Diceros bicornis minor: one gene and its partner. The main gene of each other region encodes a partner of the protein of the gene in region 2 in a complex. Links are inferred from orthologs where the notes say so. Each region holds a gene or a part of one and is shown on either strand. Other genes may lie near its edges.

Evidence for each region.
Region 1: DIS3L (region 2) and EXOSC10 share a complex: the UniProt entries of both Homo sapiens proteins name them as parts of the RNA exosome complex. The link is inferred for Diceros bicornis minor from reciprocal best matches to the Homo sapiens genes DIS3L and EXOSC10.

Annotation. Positions count from the first base shown.
Region 1 is NC_080752.1:30,363,376-30,370,479, forward strand, and holds the start of EXOSC10 (exosome component 10), read right to left. Parts: upstream 3,123-7,104; 5' UTR 3,072-3,122; coding exon 2,961-3,071; intron 1,223-2,960; coding exon 1,086-1,222; intron 1-1,085. UniProt on the Homo sapiens protein: Catalytic component of the RNA exosome complex which has 3'->5' exoribonuclease activity and participates in a multitude of cellular RNA processing and degradation events.
Region 2 is NC_080744.1:60,497,685-60,505,665, reverse strand, and holds the start of DIS3L (DIS3-like exonuclease 1), read right to left. Parts: upstream 3,083-7,981; 5' UTR 3,027-3,082; coding exon 2,888-3,026; intron 1,502-2,887; coding exon 1,348-1,501; intron 1-1,347. UniProt on the Homo sapiens protein: Catalytic component of the RNA exosome complex which has 3'->5' exoribonuclease activity and participates in a multitude of cellular RNA processing and degradation events.

The DNA of each region.
Region 1 (7,104 bases), on a different chromosome or scaffold from region 2:
TAAAACAGATTCTCTAATTCTGTCATGCAACAGTAAAACAAAATCAATGTTTGTGTATTGTCTGTCCTAATACACTTATTAGAAAGCTAATACTTGTGACTCTGCAAGTTGTGTTAGAGAATCTTGGATCTAGGTTTTCAAGTCCCATGTTAATTCAAAAAGATTCACTGTCCATAGATGCAAAAGTCAATACATTTTCTTTTTTTTTTTGCTTGAGGAAGACTAGCCCTGAGCTAACATCTGTGCCAATCTTCCTCTATTCTGTGTGGGGGGTGCCGCCTCAGCATGGCTGAGGAGCGGTGTAGGTCTGTGCCCGGATCCCGAAGCAGAGGACGCTGAACTTAACCACTGCATCATGTGGCCGGCATCCAAAGTCAATACATTTTTGTGTGTGTGTGTGTGTGAGGAAGATCAGCCCTGAGCTAACATCCGATGCCAATCCTCCTCTTTTTGCTGAGGAAGACTGGCCCTGGACTAACATCCGTGCCCATCTTCTTCTACTTTATATGGGACGCCACCACAGCATGGCTTGACAAGCAGTGCATTGGTGTGCGACTGGGATCTGAACCAAGGGCTGCTGCAGTAGAGCGCGTGCACTTAACTGTTGGCCACTGGGCTGGCCCAAAAGTCAATACATTTTTTAAAGGTTAAACTCAAAAGTTACCAAGTAACGCTTCCCTAATCAAAATCCATTGTCTCGGGGCCGGCCCGGTGGCGCAAGCGGTTAAGTGCGCGCGCTCCGCTGCGGCGGCCCGGGGTTCGCTGGTTCGGATCCCGGGCGCGCACCAACGCACTGCTTGGTAAGCCATGCTGTGGCGGCGTCCCATATAAAGTGGAGGAAGATGGGCACGGATGTTAGCCCAGGGCCGTCTTCCTCAGCAAAAAAAAGAGGAGGATTGGCGGATGTTAGCTCAGGGCTGATCTCCTCACCAAAAAAAAAAAAAAAAATCCATTGTCTCATTTTTACATTTCAGAGCTCTTTATAGTATAGAAAATTATGGAAAGAAAAAACAAATTTTAGGAAAAATTATCTACTTCTTTATATTCAGTTCTTTCAACACAAGAAAACAATATGTAGTACTTACCACTGAAGCAACCTGTCTCCCTGTGTTTCACAAAATGCCTGGAAGCCAGGAAAACTTCGGTAAAAGTCATACTCATCGCCAAACTGTGGTAGGCCCCCAGATGCCTTGGTGACTGCCACCACTGACCCAAGAGCAAACTGTCAAAAACCACAAAAACAAGCATGTTTATTTAAACAGGAGTCCCCATTCATTCAGCAACTTTTTTTCAAGATCTATATATGTGCATTACATATAATGCATTGTGCTAGATGATGAAGATATCCTATCTTTACACATCCAAAAAATATTCATTTAGTGCTGATTTTACCCTAGGTCCTAAGGAAACAATGGTGAACACGAAACCAAGTTTTGGAGCTTATATTCTTGGGAGAGTGGGGAGAGAAAGAACAACTACATACATCACTTAGGCTAGCGCCTGGCACATAAGCGCCATTATTATTACTACTACTCAAATTCAGGTCCATGAGCTTTCTACAGAAAATTATTTTTGTGTTTTCATTTGGGAAGAGCATCTAAAAACAATATAAGAATATTCTAGGTCCTTCGGATGACCAATTTATAATGGCTACTGCCCACAACTGGACTTGTGTTTATGGTCCAGTTAGTGCCAGGTAGTTGTCTACGTTTTCTTTTTTTTTTTCAGAATAATTTTTTTTTGTGTGTGTGAGGAGATCAGCCCTGTGCTAACACCTGCCAATCCTCCTCTTTTTTTGCTGAGGAAGACTGGCCCTGGGCTAACATCTGTGCCCATCTTCCTCCACTTTATATGGGCCGCCACCCCAGCGTGGCTTGACAAGCGGTGTGTTGGTGCGCAACCGGGATCCGAACCGGCGAACCCTGGGCCGCCGCAGCGGAGCGCGTGCACTTAACCGCTTGTACCACCGGGCCGGCCCCAAGTAGTTGTCTATTTTAATTGTGTGGTCATGAGAAAAAACCTGAAGTGACTGTCATAGATAAATGATGGTTGGTCAGGTGAAGGCCAAATGACATCATTGTGAGTTGCGTAATAAACATTTTCCAAAAAAAAATGAGAGAAAGGAGGTGGGAACTTGAGTCACGTGAGTATATGGTGGCTTGTGAGCACAAAGGCCACCTAATCAGGACCACGGCTAGTGGTCCAGGAACAACTCAGAGCCAAATAAATGAATTAACAATAGCATCTGCTTATTAGATATAACGTGAGTGGAGTTTTTGGAACTTGTAGTGCTAACTTACAAGTTATTTTAGCTTCATGGCTTCGTAACAGCTTTGCATGAGGCGTTTAAACCTAGTTTTATGTTTGTTCATATTTAAACATCAATACACAAATAATTTAACTGAACCCTGTGTTCCTTCAAGAAGGCATTGATAAATGTGCTAACGCACTTAGAGGAGGCTGACTCGGTGACAGCTCTCACGGGGACATTAAACCCAGGGTTGGGGATTATGTAGGACTGGACCTCCGGAGAGGGAAGAAGGGCCATCCCAGAGGCGCGAGGGGAGGACGCCGGCAGCTGTGGGAAGCCTAAAGCTGCGGAGTCCCTCCGGAGAGTTGGATGGGTGGCTCAGGCCTGGGGGGGGGGGCTGGGGACATCAGGGTGACAAGGAGGCCCTTCCCACGACGCGGAGACGGCGCTCCACACTCAGAGCTGCATGCGCTCCAAGGAGAGAACGAGGGCCCTGGGAAGCAGAGCGTCCCTCAGCGTCCGCGTGCGAGGCCCCATCCCCGGGGGTGAAGGGAGAGACTGTGCCCGGCGCGGGTAACGGCCCTTCGCCCCCCGCCCGGGCTCTGCTGCGGCTCGCGCACGGCCGGGAGTGCGGCCGCAGAGAGGGCCCGGGCCTGCTTCCGGCCGGCCGCGGGCGGCTCCCGGTGCCCCCAAGGCCCCGCGAGCTCACCTTCACGAAGCTGTCTGCGTCCGGGAAGCCCGGCAGCACCATCTCTCCGTCGGACTTGGCCGCGCTTGTTGTCGACGGGGCTTTGGGATCTCCGGGACTGGGAAGCGCCATTTTCCCGGCCTGCACGGCTCTTCTCGCGAGAGTGCCTCGGGCCGACGCGACATGCGCGCACCACGCATGTGCAAAGGCTGTCGTCGCGGGGGACGAGCTGCGGGCAACGTGCGTTGAGGTTTCAGGCTTGAGCGCCCCACCGGGGGGGCTTTGCATCTTTTGTTTAACCTGATTGTATCGTCCCAACAATCTGTGATTTAGGGTGGGACCCGGAGGACCCAGTTATTCTCATATTTAAAGTCAGCTCCTCCCAAGCTCTGGTTCCGTGCCTCCCCCTCCCAACTTGATCGTGGCTCCTGCAATTATCTCCTCTCTCTGGCATCACCTATCTTTCCCCTGGATACAGGTTCATTCCTAACAGCCTACACATGTGACGGTATCTCTCCCAAGTAAAAAGACAAAACAAAAACAACACGACCCCACGCCTCCTTCCAGCCACCGGCGCATTTCTCCTGCCTCTTACAGGTGAACTCGAAAAGACGTCTGCCTGCTCCCCCTGTACTTAGTCACCTCCAGTGCTCTCGAACTCCTGCAGTCAGACGTTCCTCCCCATCTACACCGCTGGAGCCACTCTTGGTAAGGCATAGTGGGAACTCAAACATTTGTTAAATGAATGCCTGGAAGAGCATAGTTATGAAGGAGGCACTGTATTATCACGCAGCTCAGGGGATGGGTTTTGGGAAGCTCAGCAGGGCGTATCTTCTCTCCTAAGATCGGGGTAGCACATCCTTAATACAAGTCGTTTGACTTAGTAAGTGTTCAACAAATGTTACCTGTCATCGTTATTCGGAGTATTCTTTTAGCAGGATACTTTTCATTTCCCCCCCAATTTGTGTACCTCAGGTACACAGGTGCCCTGGCAGAACAAAGGCCTAGCCTTGTTCCTTTTAACAACTAATACTTTTGAGCACTTATTTCATATAGTTCAACGTAATATCACATGTGAGGCTGTGCTGAGTGCTTTCCATGGTTATTATCTCATCCTCAAAACAACCTTTATGTGGTAGATCACACCATTATGCACACTTTCAGAGGAGGAAACAGGCATAGAGAGGTTAAGTAACTTGGCCAAAGTCACACAGGGAGTATGATGTGGGGCTGAGATTTGAAACTACGCAATCTGACACTACAGCCTTGACTCTTACAAACCACTTTACATGCCTCCCAGAGTTTTAAGGCCCAGCCTATGGCACCCTGTGAATGTAAGGACCCCCAAAGTCATTCTTTGCCACATCCCTCCCTTCACAAAGCAGTTGTGTGAAACAATCTGGATTGATAGGGTAATTAGACTGTCTTCAAATGCCTTGATTATTTCCTCACTTGCCCCTGGTAATTCATCTCAACAAAGGATTTGCTTAGATGTAACTTAAAACCCATTGGATTCACCAAAGATCTTTTTTTTTTTTTTTTTTTTGGGGAGGGAGATCAGCCCTGAGCTAACATCCGTGCTAATCCTCCTCTTTTTGCTGAAGAAGACCAGCTCTGAGCTAACATCTATTGCCAATCCTCCTCCTTTTTTCCTTCCCCGAAGCCCCAGTAGATAGCTGTATGTCATAGTTGCACATCCTTCTAGTTGCTGTATGTGGGACACAGCCTCAGCATGGGCGGAGAAGCAGTGTGTCGGTGTGCGCCTGAGATCCGAACCCGGGCCTCCAGTAGCGGAGCTGGCGAACTTAACCATTAAGCCACTGGGCCCGCCCATCACCAAAGATCTTAATCCCAATGACTCTCCTGTCCTGAGGTATGTCTTTACCACTGATTGCCACAATTTCCCTGAGTCCATTCATTCCTATGCCCTTTATCTTTCATGAATGGTAAGATCACTGTAGTCATTGATAATTATTTCAGGTAGAACCAAGAAAGTTATGGTGATCACATTTTCTGTCACAAAAGTTGATACATGGTTTAAGATTGTTCATGGAGGGCTGGCCGGGTGGCTTAGTGGTTAAGTGCACGTGCTCCACTACTGGCGGCCCAGGTTCGGATCCCGGGCGTGCACCGATGCACCGCTTCTCCTGCCATGCTGAGGCTGCGGCCCACATATAGCAACTGGAAGGATGTGCAGCTATGACATACAGCTGTCTACTGGGGCATTGGGGGGAAAAAAAAGGAGAAGGATTGGCAATAGATGTTAGCTCAGAGCCGGTCTTCCTCAGCAAAAAGAGGAGGATTAGCATGGATGTTAGCTCAGGGCTGATCTTCCTCACAACAACAACAAGATTGTTCATGGAAAATTTAAGATAGGTATGAGATTTTCTAGCTGTGAAGGTTAAAACTGTTATTAGTATCACTAAAAATCCAAAAAATCCATCTTTGTTTTTAATAGAAGAGTCCTCAAACAAACCTATATGGAATACCACTGTGGGCTAGGTCTTCTGGCAGATTTTGGGGATACAAAGTCACATACGATATGCCTCCTGGCCTTGTAATTCTCATGCTCCCCTAACACAAGTTCTTTGAATAGCTTTTATAATGATACAGTATTTCTCACTGGGTAGCTGTGGCCCATAGGAATTTAGAAAAAAAAATTTACTTGAACAACTAAAAACGATCTTCTTTGGAAGAACTTCTCTTTAGGCATGCTTTCTTTTTTTTTTGTGAGGAAGATCAGCCCTGAGCTAACATCCATGCCAGTCCTCGTTTTTTTTTTTTTGCTGAGGAAGACTGGCCCTGGGCTAACATCCGTGCCCATCTTCCTCCACTTTATGTGGGACGCTGCCACAGCATGGCCTGACAAGCGGTGCGTCAGTGCACACCCGGGACCCGAACCCGGGCCGCCAGCAGAGGAGCGCGCGCACTTAACCGCTACGCCGTGGTCAGGCCCCCAGGTGTGCTCTTTCTTTAGAGGAACCCAAACATAGTACTGGCCAGCTCCATTCAATGTTCTCTCCTCTCCATTATTGCAACAGCCTCTTGACTAGATCTTGTGGCTTCTCATTTTCTTTCCACTTGTTTGACACCAGGTGGCTCTTAAAAACACGACTCAGATTCTACTTCTGTTTTAAAACTTCACATGGTTCCCTGTCGTCCACAGCATCACGTTCAAACTCCTTGCCGTTTGAGGCAAGGCCAGTCTGGCCTCACTCTGCTTTGTAGCCTCCTTTTAGTTCCTATTACTCCTTTTATTCCGTACTGACCACTGAGCCAGATATGCTGAACTCTGAGGTCCAGCTGTGAGAAACTGCCATTTTATGTATCAACAGTGGCTGAATACCTGCAATCTAATCTTGTTCAAGTTACTACTTGCCATTGCTGCACGATATTGTGCTTTTATCTCTCGATTCTGCCAGGAATGTCCTCATCTGCTTCATCTGACAAACTCCCACTCCTCCTTTAAGACCCGTGGCAAATGTCCCCCTTTCCCCCAGGCTTTCCTGGCTCGCCCAGTGAGTTAGTGCCCCCTCTTACGCTCACCCTCTGGACGTGGCTCTTCTCACCGCTTAGGTTGGTGGAGTTGTCAGTCCGCTCCTAGGTGACGCCGCCTCTGCCTTGTCTGGCCTGTGAACACCGCGAGGAGAGGGACCACGTCGTGTAGATCCCACATCCTGTGTAGTTGCTAGTACTAAGTGCTTAATGAATGTTGAAGGAATAACTGCTTCCTTTATGAACTAATGATCATGAATAAAAAGCCACTCATATACATGTTTTTAAAATTCTGATGTCATTTATTGGCACAAAAATTATTCAGATACAACATGGTGTCTAGACATGGCTACACTTTATACTTTGTGCATTTAGTTTAATATTTCTTTTGCTCGTAATTCCCAACATGTACTAGACCTGGCCTCTCTTGTGTTCAGCACCTCCATGACAGCATTTCTGTTTTCCAAGCCCTTGCTCTAAACATAGAGCATCAGACCTCACTGAAAACACCCAGAATCGTGCTGGGGAAGGCCATTGTGGGCCACCCTACTGCGCCACGATCTCCTCTGTGCACCTGCTCAGCTGAGCCGCCCAGCAATCTGAAGAAACTCCTCTCCTAGCAGTTCGGGTCTTGGATTGAAGTGTGTAAGTCGCAGCATCAAGGTGAGGC
Region 2 (7,981 bases):
TTTTTCATCAAGTTAAGTACTTTTGAAATGTTCAGGAGAAAAAAACATTTAAATTCCAATTCTTTGCTTTTGAATGTCCCAGGAACTGGCTTTTAAAACACTCCTTAATATTAAAAATATTTTAGAAAACAGAAGTTGAAAAGGCTCGGCAGTGTGTTAGCAATCAGAATGATAACAACAAATTGATTTTAGTAGCAGAAATTGAAATACGACATTTGGAGCAGCATTTAAACCTGGATGTGTATAAACATCTATATCTTTGTGTCTGAACAAAATCAACTTCAAGCTCATTTAAAAATATTCTACCTGAAAAACCTGCACACAATCTAGAAAAACGCACATTTTTTTGAACTGAGCACATAATAAGGACAACTTATCATTTTCATATACAAATAAACATACTTCATCTTTTGCTACCTTAAAAAACCACAACATTTAAAAAAGAATGAACACATAGTTTCTGTTGTTTAAATAACCTGGGGTGTTAAGAGGTTGAATATATAATTCTAATATGCTGTTTTCATACAGTCTTTAAGTTCAAATCATAAATCTTTCCCAATGTTAAATGAAGCAGAACCATTTTTTAGAGTACAGTCGGCCCTCCGTATCCGCAGGTTCCGCATCCGCGGATTCAACCAACCGCGGATTTTACATGTAGGTACTATGTTTTTGATCCACAGTTTGGATTGGTTCCGTGGTCCTGGAACCAATCCCCCACTGATACCGAGGGGCGACTGTACTTGTTTAAAAGGTGAACAACTGTTATTCATTTAGGCACAAGGCAAGCATTTTAGACTCATTTCAATCAGAAATCTTTTGTTTAGCAAATACAACTACTATGGTTGGTAGTTATACTGGTAATCTAAAAATAAAACAAGTTAATTCTGGTTTCAATGACTAAATCACTACAAGTACAATTTGCATCCACAATAAAGGAGTCTAAAATTTAAAAATAAAGTACTCTTTTTCCCAAGGGAAAAAAAAGTAAGCTTCTGAAACAATATGTCTATAAATAAGATTACGTAAAATGCGTTATCAACAAGAAATCAGCAATAACTCGGCTACTATAAAAATGCAAACCAAAAGCCAAGAATCTTAAATACCCACATACTGGGGACACTGCAGTTTATTGATCTACAGTCAGATCTTTTGGCCAGGTGTTGAAGCAGAAATATAAAATAATGTTACTGCATTCCTCACTAGCAAAGAGAATACCAAATTAGTTCAAAAAGTCTCTTCTGACAAAGTAATGAATTCCTCCCCTCTCCATCCAACAAGGGGCTTTTTCTAAGGGGGAAACAAAAATCTATGCCATAAATAAATAAATAAATAATGAAAACCAGATACCTCCGGCCTCTTTGATGCTGCACAGCTTGACAAGCCGTTTGCATGAAAATAATTCCCTTTAATTCAGGAAACTCAAGGATCTCCAGGTAATCTTGAACAATTTTCCAATCTGGGATCACGTAATGAGTCACATCACTAGACAAGAGTTTCCCATCTGAAGCATAATTCAAAACGTAAGAGATTAGACAACATTTGCAAACCTGGATTATTTCAACGTTATGGTGCCCTAGTGTGCAAAATCACTTCCAATCTTACTACACGGTGAAGTTTTTTAAAGACAAGATAAATCTACTTTGGTAGAGGCACAAAGTTCAGGTAGATTCAGCACCGTCATTTTTCCGAAGCTGCGATAAATAAAAGCTCAATGTTGTTTACGGTGTTGCCAGGGAAGAAGGAGATGACTGATTTTTTAAAACAAACAAGCAAATCTTCAGAACAACCTGAATATTTCTGCGTTAACTCACTGACATACGCACATTCAAATGGGGCACCCCAAAATATACATGTTAACCACTTGTTTCGCCCAGCTATTTCAAGTCTCTGTCTCAAGTTGGTGAACATGCTCAGGAGTCTCCAAAGACCAAAAAGACTGAATTGACCAGAAAAGATGCTCAGTGCAAGCAAGGGCAGCGGTAGCGTTTCCACCCTGCCCGTGTCTCAGAGAGCTGGTTAGCCAAGCTGTAACTAAAACGTTCACCTTAACATAAGCTGAGGATTCCAAATATTCGCTGAAAAGGACCCCCACGCTCATCTCCCACCAGAGGGAAGAGAACCAGTAATCTTCCTCGATAAACTGGTCACCCTGCAGCCTAGAAACCAAGTAGGGAAGGTCTAATGCACAGCAGTCCCAAATCTAACTTCCCCACGACCTTCCTGTACAACGAGGGCCCAGATTATTCACAAATCCTGCAGTGAAGAGGGTGTCCACTGGATAAACGTCTGAGGCATCGGTGCCGGCAGGTCAGAATATTTGTGCGGAGCAAAGCAACGTAAAATGACGCCGCCGGCTCGCGCCCCGCCTCTCACTGCGGGGCCAACAGCTCAGGAACTCCCCAGTCACCACCACACGGTCCTGGGGCGCAAGAGGGGGCAGGTTCCTGAGCCCACAAGCCCCTCGGAAGGCAAATCACCGGGCCTCGGGGCTAGGGGGGCGTCCGTCTCCCGGCCCTTCCATGTTATGGAGCGGAGCAGTCGGGGAGTCCCGTGTGGGGAGCCCAGAAGCAGCGGACGAGGGGCGTCTCTGCGGCTCTGAAGCCGCCGGCCCCTCGCTCCTGACCCGCAGTCGGGCCGGAGGTAATGCCTGCGGGCGGGCGCCTCCGCGGCCTCGCGCTCCGCCTCCAGGCCGTGCCCTTCCTCCTCACGGCGGGCGCTCGGCCCCGGCCCCGCCGCCCTCCGCTCCCCTCGCTCCCGCCCGGCCTCGGCCCCCCTCGCTCCCGCCCGGCCGCCCTCCGCTCCCCTCACTCCCGCCTCGGCTCCCCTCGCTCCCGCCCGGCCCCCCTCGCTCCCGCCCGGCCGCCCTGGCTCCCGCCGGGCCCCTGACCGTTGCGGCAGGCGGCGGGCTGCGGGCAGAGCGGGCTGTTGCAGGGCACGCTGGGCCGCAGGTAATGCTCCCGCACGATCCGCAGCGTCCGGCCCTGGAAGGTCCTCAGGAGCAGCACTTTCTCCCGCTTCTGCAGCATGGTGGCGGCGCTCGCCCGGCAGAGCTCCGGGCCCCGAGAGGCCGCCCCGAGCGAGCGGCCGGGAAGCGGCGGGCGCGGCGCGGCGCCGGCGCAGGCGAGGCCGAGGCTCCGGGCCCGCCCCCTGGGCCTGGCCGGCCTGGTCTACGCGCGGCTCCGGCCGGGCCCGGCCCTCCTGCCAGCTGCCTGGGCGCTCCGGGGGAGCGGGGGGCTGAAACGGCGGTAACCGCCTGGGTCCCGGGGTTGAGAGCAGGAGGAGGCCCTCTCCCCCAACCTGCCTCAGTTTCTCCCCTCCTACAGTTGCTTGGGGGCAGGGAGGGATGGAAACCACCCCAAAGACCTATGGGAGATAAAGATAATATATGGAAGCTAGTGTAAAGTCTTGGGAAAGAAGATTTGGTGCAACTATAAAGGATTATTATACTTTGTTTCTACCCCCAGGTCCATATGGGAACGGGGCTGTTGTTCTAATATGGGTAATTATTAGTGTTTTCTGTTGGTTGCTCTTGCTGTCCCTGAAGGAGCCAAAAGATTCAGTAAATAAGCCAGCAACCCTGCCAACACAACATTTTTTTTCCCTTAAATACGTTGTATTTATTTTTAATTCCATGTATTTTTAATCCATACAAAAATTCAAATAATGCAGATAAAATGAAAACCAGTCCCTTCCCTTGAGGTAAACACTATCCATTCAACCCCAACTTTATAGCATTTGCAGCTTCTGGCAAAGGAATTCTCCTTTAAAGTTGATGGAGACTCATACAGTTTCTTCTGAGATCACACACTTTGGGTTGGATAGAAGCCACTGTTCTTCAAAGCACTCAGCAAAGACTTTTGAGCTGCACCAGAAGCTTTACATACAAGTGCCCCATTTAATTTCTACAAGTCAATGGAGTTAGACATTATTATCCCCATTTTACAGATGATGACACTGGATTAGGGAGGTTAAGTGGCCAGGGTTACCCAGTTATTAAGTGGTGGAATCAATATTCAAGCCAGAATCTGGCTGAATCCAAAGCAGGCTCTTAACTAATTACTGGGCTGTTAGATGAATAAAATATAGCTCTTGTATCTAAGGAGTTTATAGTCTACTTGTTGAGCTCTGGTTAAGGCAGCTCTACCAGCTGACTGGGAACATCAAAGCTTCCTCTTACCCTGAAGTTAGCAAAACTAGGGTCTCCTGGTGGATCACTTCCTTTACTCTAGAGGAACATATTACAAAGTCATGGTCTCATATTACAAAGTCATGGACGGAGTATTTTTGGTCAGGTTATCTGTAGTGTGGGATGATATGAGTGAGATCCCAGACGGAATTGCACAAGTTAGGAAAACATTACAGTGCTGGTCCACAGGCCAGAGCGTTAGGAGGGCCCACAAGGCAACCGGCAGTGCAGGAGGCCTCCCTAATTGAGGAGGTCAGTTCTAGAGATCCCAGAGGAAGGGAAAGTAGCCAAATTTGTGCCCTACATAGAAGTGCTTCAGACAGCTGCCCACAATTCCGTCCAAAGCTCATCCATTTTCATTTTTCTTTTACTTCTGATTATATGTCCTTAACATTTCTCTTTAGCATTTGGTAGCTTTAATCTTTCTCTAAATTGGGACTAATGATCTTTTAAGGAAGAGAGTGTGTCTAGGGCTCTATTGAAAGTTGATTTTATCAGTATTTAAAATAATCCAAGGCCCATCAAGCACTTCCTTTGCTTGCATTGAGGCAATAATGTACAAATTATGTTCTTAAAAGCATGATCCCTTAGTTCTTGGAAGTGATGATCTAAAATGGACAAGAATGCCTTTCTGTTGGTTTGTTTGTTCACAGACCATCTGATGCCTCTTGCCTGAAAAAAAGGTTTCTATATCAATCAGAATAAACTAGGTTATGCTGCAGTAATATACAACTTCAAAAATCCCAGTGCCTTAAAACAACAAGATGTTGCCTGGGTGCCTAGAGGCTCCGTTTTGTGTTGTGCTTCTCCAGGACCCAGGGTGACGGAGCCAGTTGTCTCTGCGATACTGTTTGCTGTTCATTGGCAGAGGGCAAAGAGCCCTCTAGACAGCCTTACGCGAGCAATTAAAAGCTCAGTCCAGAAGTGGTACATGTCACTTCTGCCTGTTGGCCGGAACTAGTCACATGACCACACATCCAATGGGGATAGAGGGATGAGAGAGAGAGAAAGAGAGAGAGAGAGAGTAGGGAGTGGGGAGGTGGCAGACGGGGGCAGGAAGTGCATTTCTACCTCATAGCCTGAAGGCACAGTGCCGAAACCCTTTGATGAGCAGCATTTGTGTCTACCTGAATGCTCCCAACTCAAACCCCTTAGCCCTAAGTGGGTCTGCTCTGCCATCACCCTTGTACCTGTGACTACTCCAGCTCAGCCCGCTATCCAGTCCCTGCTTGGGCATTCTACTGCTCACCTCTTTACATCCTCGGCCCCCTCCCCAATAGCCCCAATGAGCCAAGCATACATCACCGCATCATCTTTAATCCTCATCACAGTCCCTCAAGGTAAATATGTCATTTCTTGTGCCAGAGACTGGCTCTCTGATCACTGAATCCATGTCCTCTTTTTCTCTGGGCACATAGATGAATCACATTTCCCAGCCTCCCTTTGCACATAGATGGGTGTGGCCACAGAATGTAATCGTACCATTTCCAGGCCTGGCCCATAAAAACCTCCCGTGAGCACTCCTCTTTCCTGTTCCACTGGCTGGATGCCAAAGCCCAGGGGCTCTTGGAAGGCAGCACTGAAGACAGCACGCCCCCTCCCCCAATCAACTTGGGTCCCAGACGGACTGTGCAGAGCAGAGCCCTGCCTCCCCCAACCAGGAGCATCCACAGGGGACTCTTGTAAGGGGGAAATAAACTTTTGTTTTAGCAGCTAGCATTACCTTAATCAATACATCCCCACTGTACAAGGGAGATTAAGAAACTTGCTGAAGGGGTGCCTATTTGTTTCAAAACCCCTCTCTAGTTATTAAATGTCGTGATGAAGCTGCTTGAGGATTCTACAGCAGTTCTAAATTGTACAGTGCTCTAGGAGGTGGGAGAGCAGCAGTGGTATTCGGTGCTCTAGTTTGGTCTGGGCTATGGTGCCACAGCAGTGCCACACTGGGAGGGATGCTTGGCAGCTTGCTTCTCTTTTCAGTTTTCCCTTTCCTTGTCAATCCAAGTGCAGATGGGCAGCCTGGTGCTCAGATAGCAGAATGCTGTGACAGCTTTCAGCCCTGTGTTGAAGATGGAAATCTCTGATTGTGGCTCGGTTTCCCTGGTGCATGACTGCAGTCTTCTTCAGGCTGAGCACCAGCGTGCTTACACTGCAGGAGTTTGTAGCATTTGCTGCATCTCTTTTTGCAGATGCACTCTGGGAGTGCAGACATCAGCAACCACTGGATTAAAATCAAAAGGTCTCATCAAAAGGTTAGCCTAGAGAGGGTGGGGCATCTTTACAAAGGGCTAAGATGACAGGGAGGTTAAATGTATAAAAGAAATTCTGGAAGGTGAACTGCAAGGGCTAGAGTGGATTACTGAAGCAAGCTTTGAAATATTCTGTCACTATTTATTTACTTAAAATTACAATAGTACAACATGCTTGTTGCAACACATTCCAACAATACTGAATTGTGCCAAGTAAAAACATTGAAGCTCAGTTTGCATCTGAAGTCTACTCCTCCCAAGTCATTTACTGTTGTTGAGAGCTGGTATGCATCCTAGAAGGCTTTAAATATAATCCAAAGTTTGCAACTTTTTGAAGAACTTGTCAATCTATGTAGTATCAGCTAATTACAGTTAATGTTTCTCAAACTTTTACTAGGTGCCACTCACTGCTCTAAGCACTTTTCTGTGTTTTCTCATTTAATCCTCAAAACAATGCCTTGACTGTGATGCTGTTACCAACTCCATTTTACAGGCAGGAAACTGAAGTAAGAAAGGACTGAGTAGGCCACACACTCAATGTATGGTTTTGGCTACAGAGCCCAGGCAGTAATGACATAGCCATGCCACCTTTCAGCTAGAGAACAGCAAGAGTTACAGCATGCGGTACATTCTATATGATGGAGCTAGGATGACCCCAGTTATTTTAGGTTTAGGGAATTGGAAACAATGACAGTCAAATATTGACCCTACTACTTTCCTAACTTCCATGAGCCTTGGTGATTTCCACTATAAAAGACAGCTAGCAGGACAGATGGTGCTGAGTATTGGTATTAACCAGTCAATGATTCTAAAGGGTCATGTAAGTATCTAAAATTATCCCATTTCTCTGAAGAATCCGCTTACTTTCATTTGTGCTCCACCTCAGTGGAAGAGTCATTGGAGGACAAACGGCTGCTGAGATTCCTCTGCTACTTGTATTAGGGATAATTTAATTTCCTATATGTTAAAGGCTGTTAATCCTTGATTTTCACTTTTCCCAGCAGATACAATGGCTCCCTTTTGGCTTTCTAAACACCCTGTGAATCCCCATAATCCACTTTGCAATGATTACTCTAAAACGTTCTGCTTAACCCTTTCTAATTTTTTAGAGAGAAATTATTTCGTACTTACCAATTCATATCTCAGCAAGATTTTTGCTATACTGTTGACCTACCAGTAATTTTGTCCTTCTACCACTAAGGGGCACTGTTTCATTGATTTTGGGGGGGGGGCGGTTGGCAGGAGGGTGCTTCTGCTAAAGTCCCTTCTGTGCTGGTATCTGAGTAGCTGATACTTGGCCTTTCACATACTGCCATTAAAATGCAGCCAATTATTTGAGGCAAAAAACAAACAAACAAAAACAACCTTAGTATTACACAATACGTTTATCCAAGGAGCTCAAAGGTCCAGATGCTCCAAAATTAATTAGAAACCAAGCTTCATTGATTAATATAGAAAAGAAGAAAATCCTTTAAGTCTTGAAGCCAACTAGACAAAATTCAGTTATATGGATAGCCATTTATAATTTAAAAATAGAAACATTACT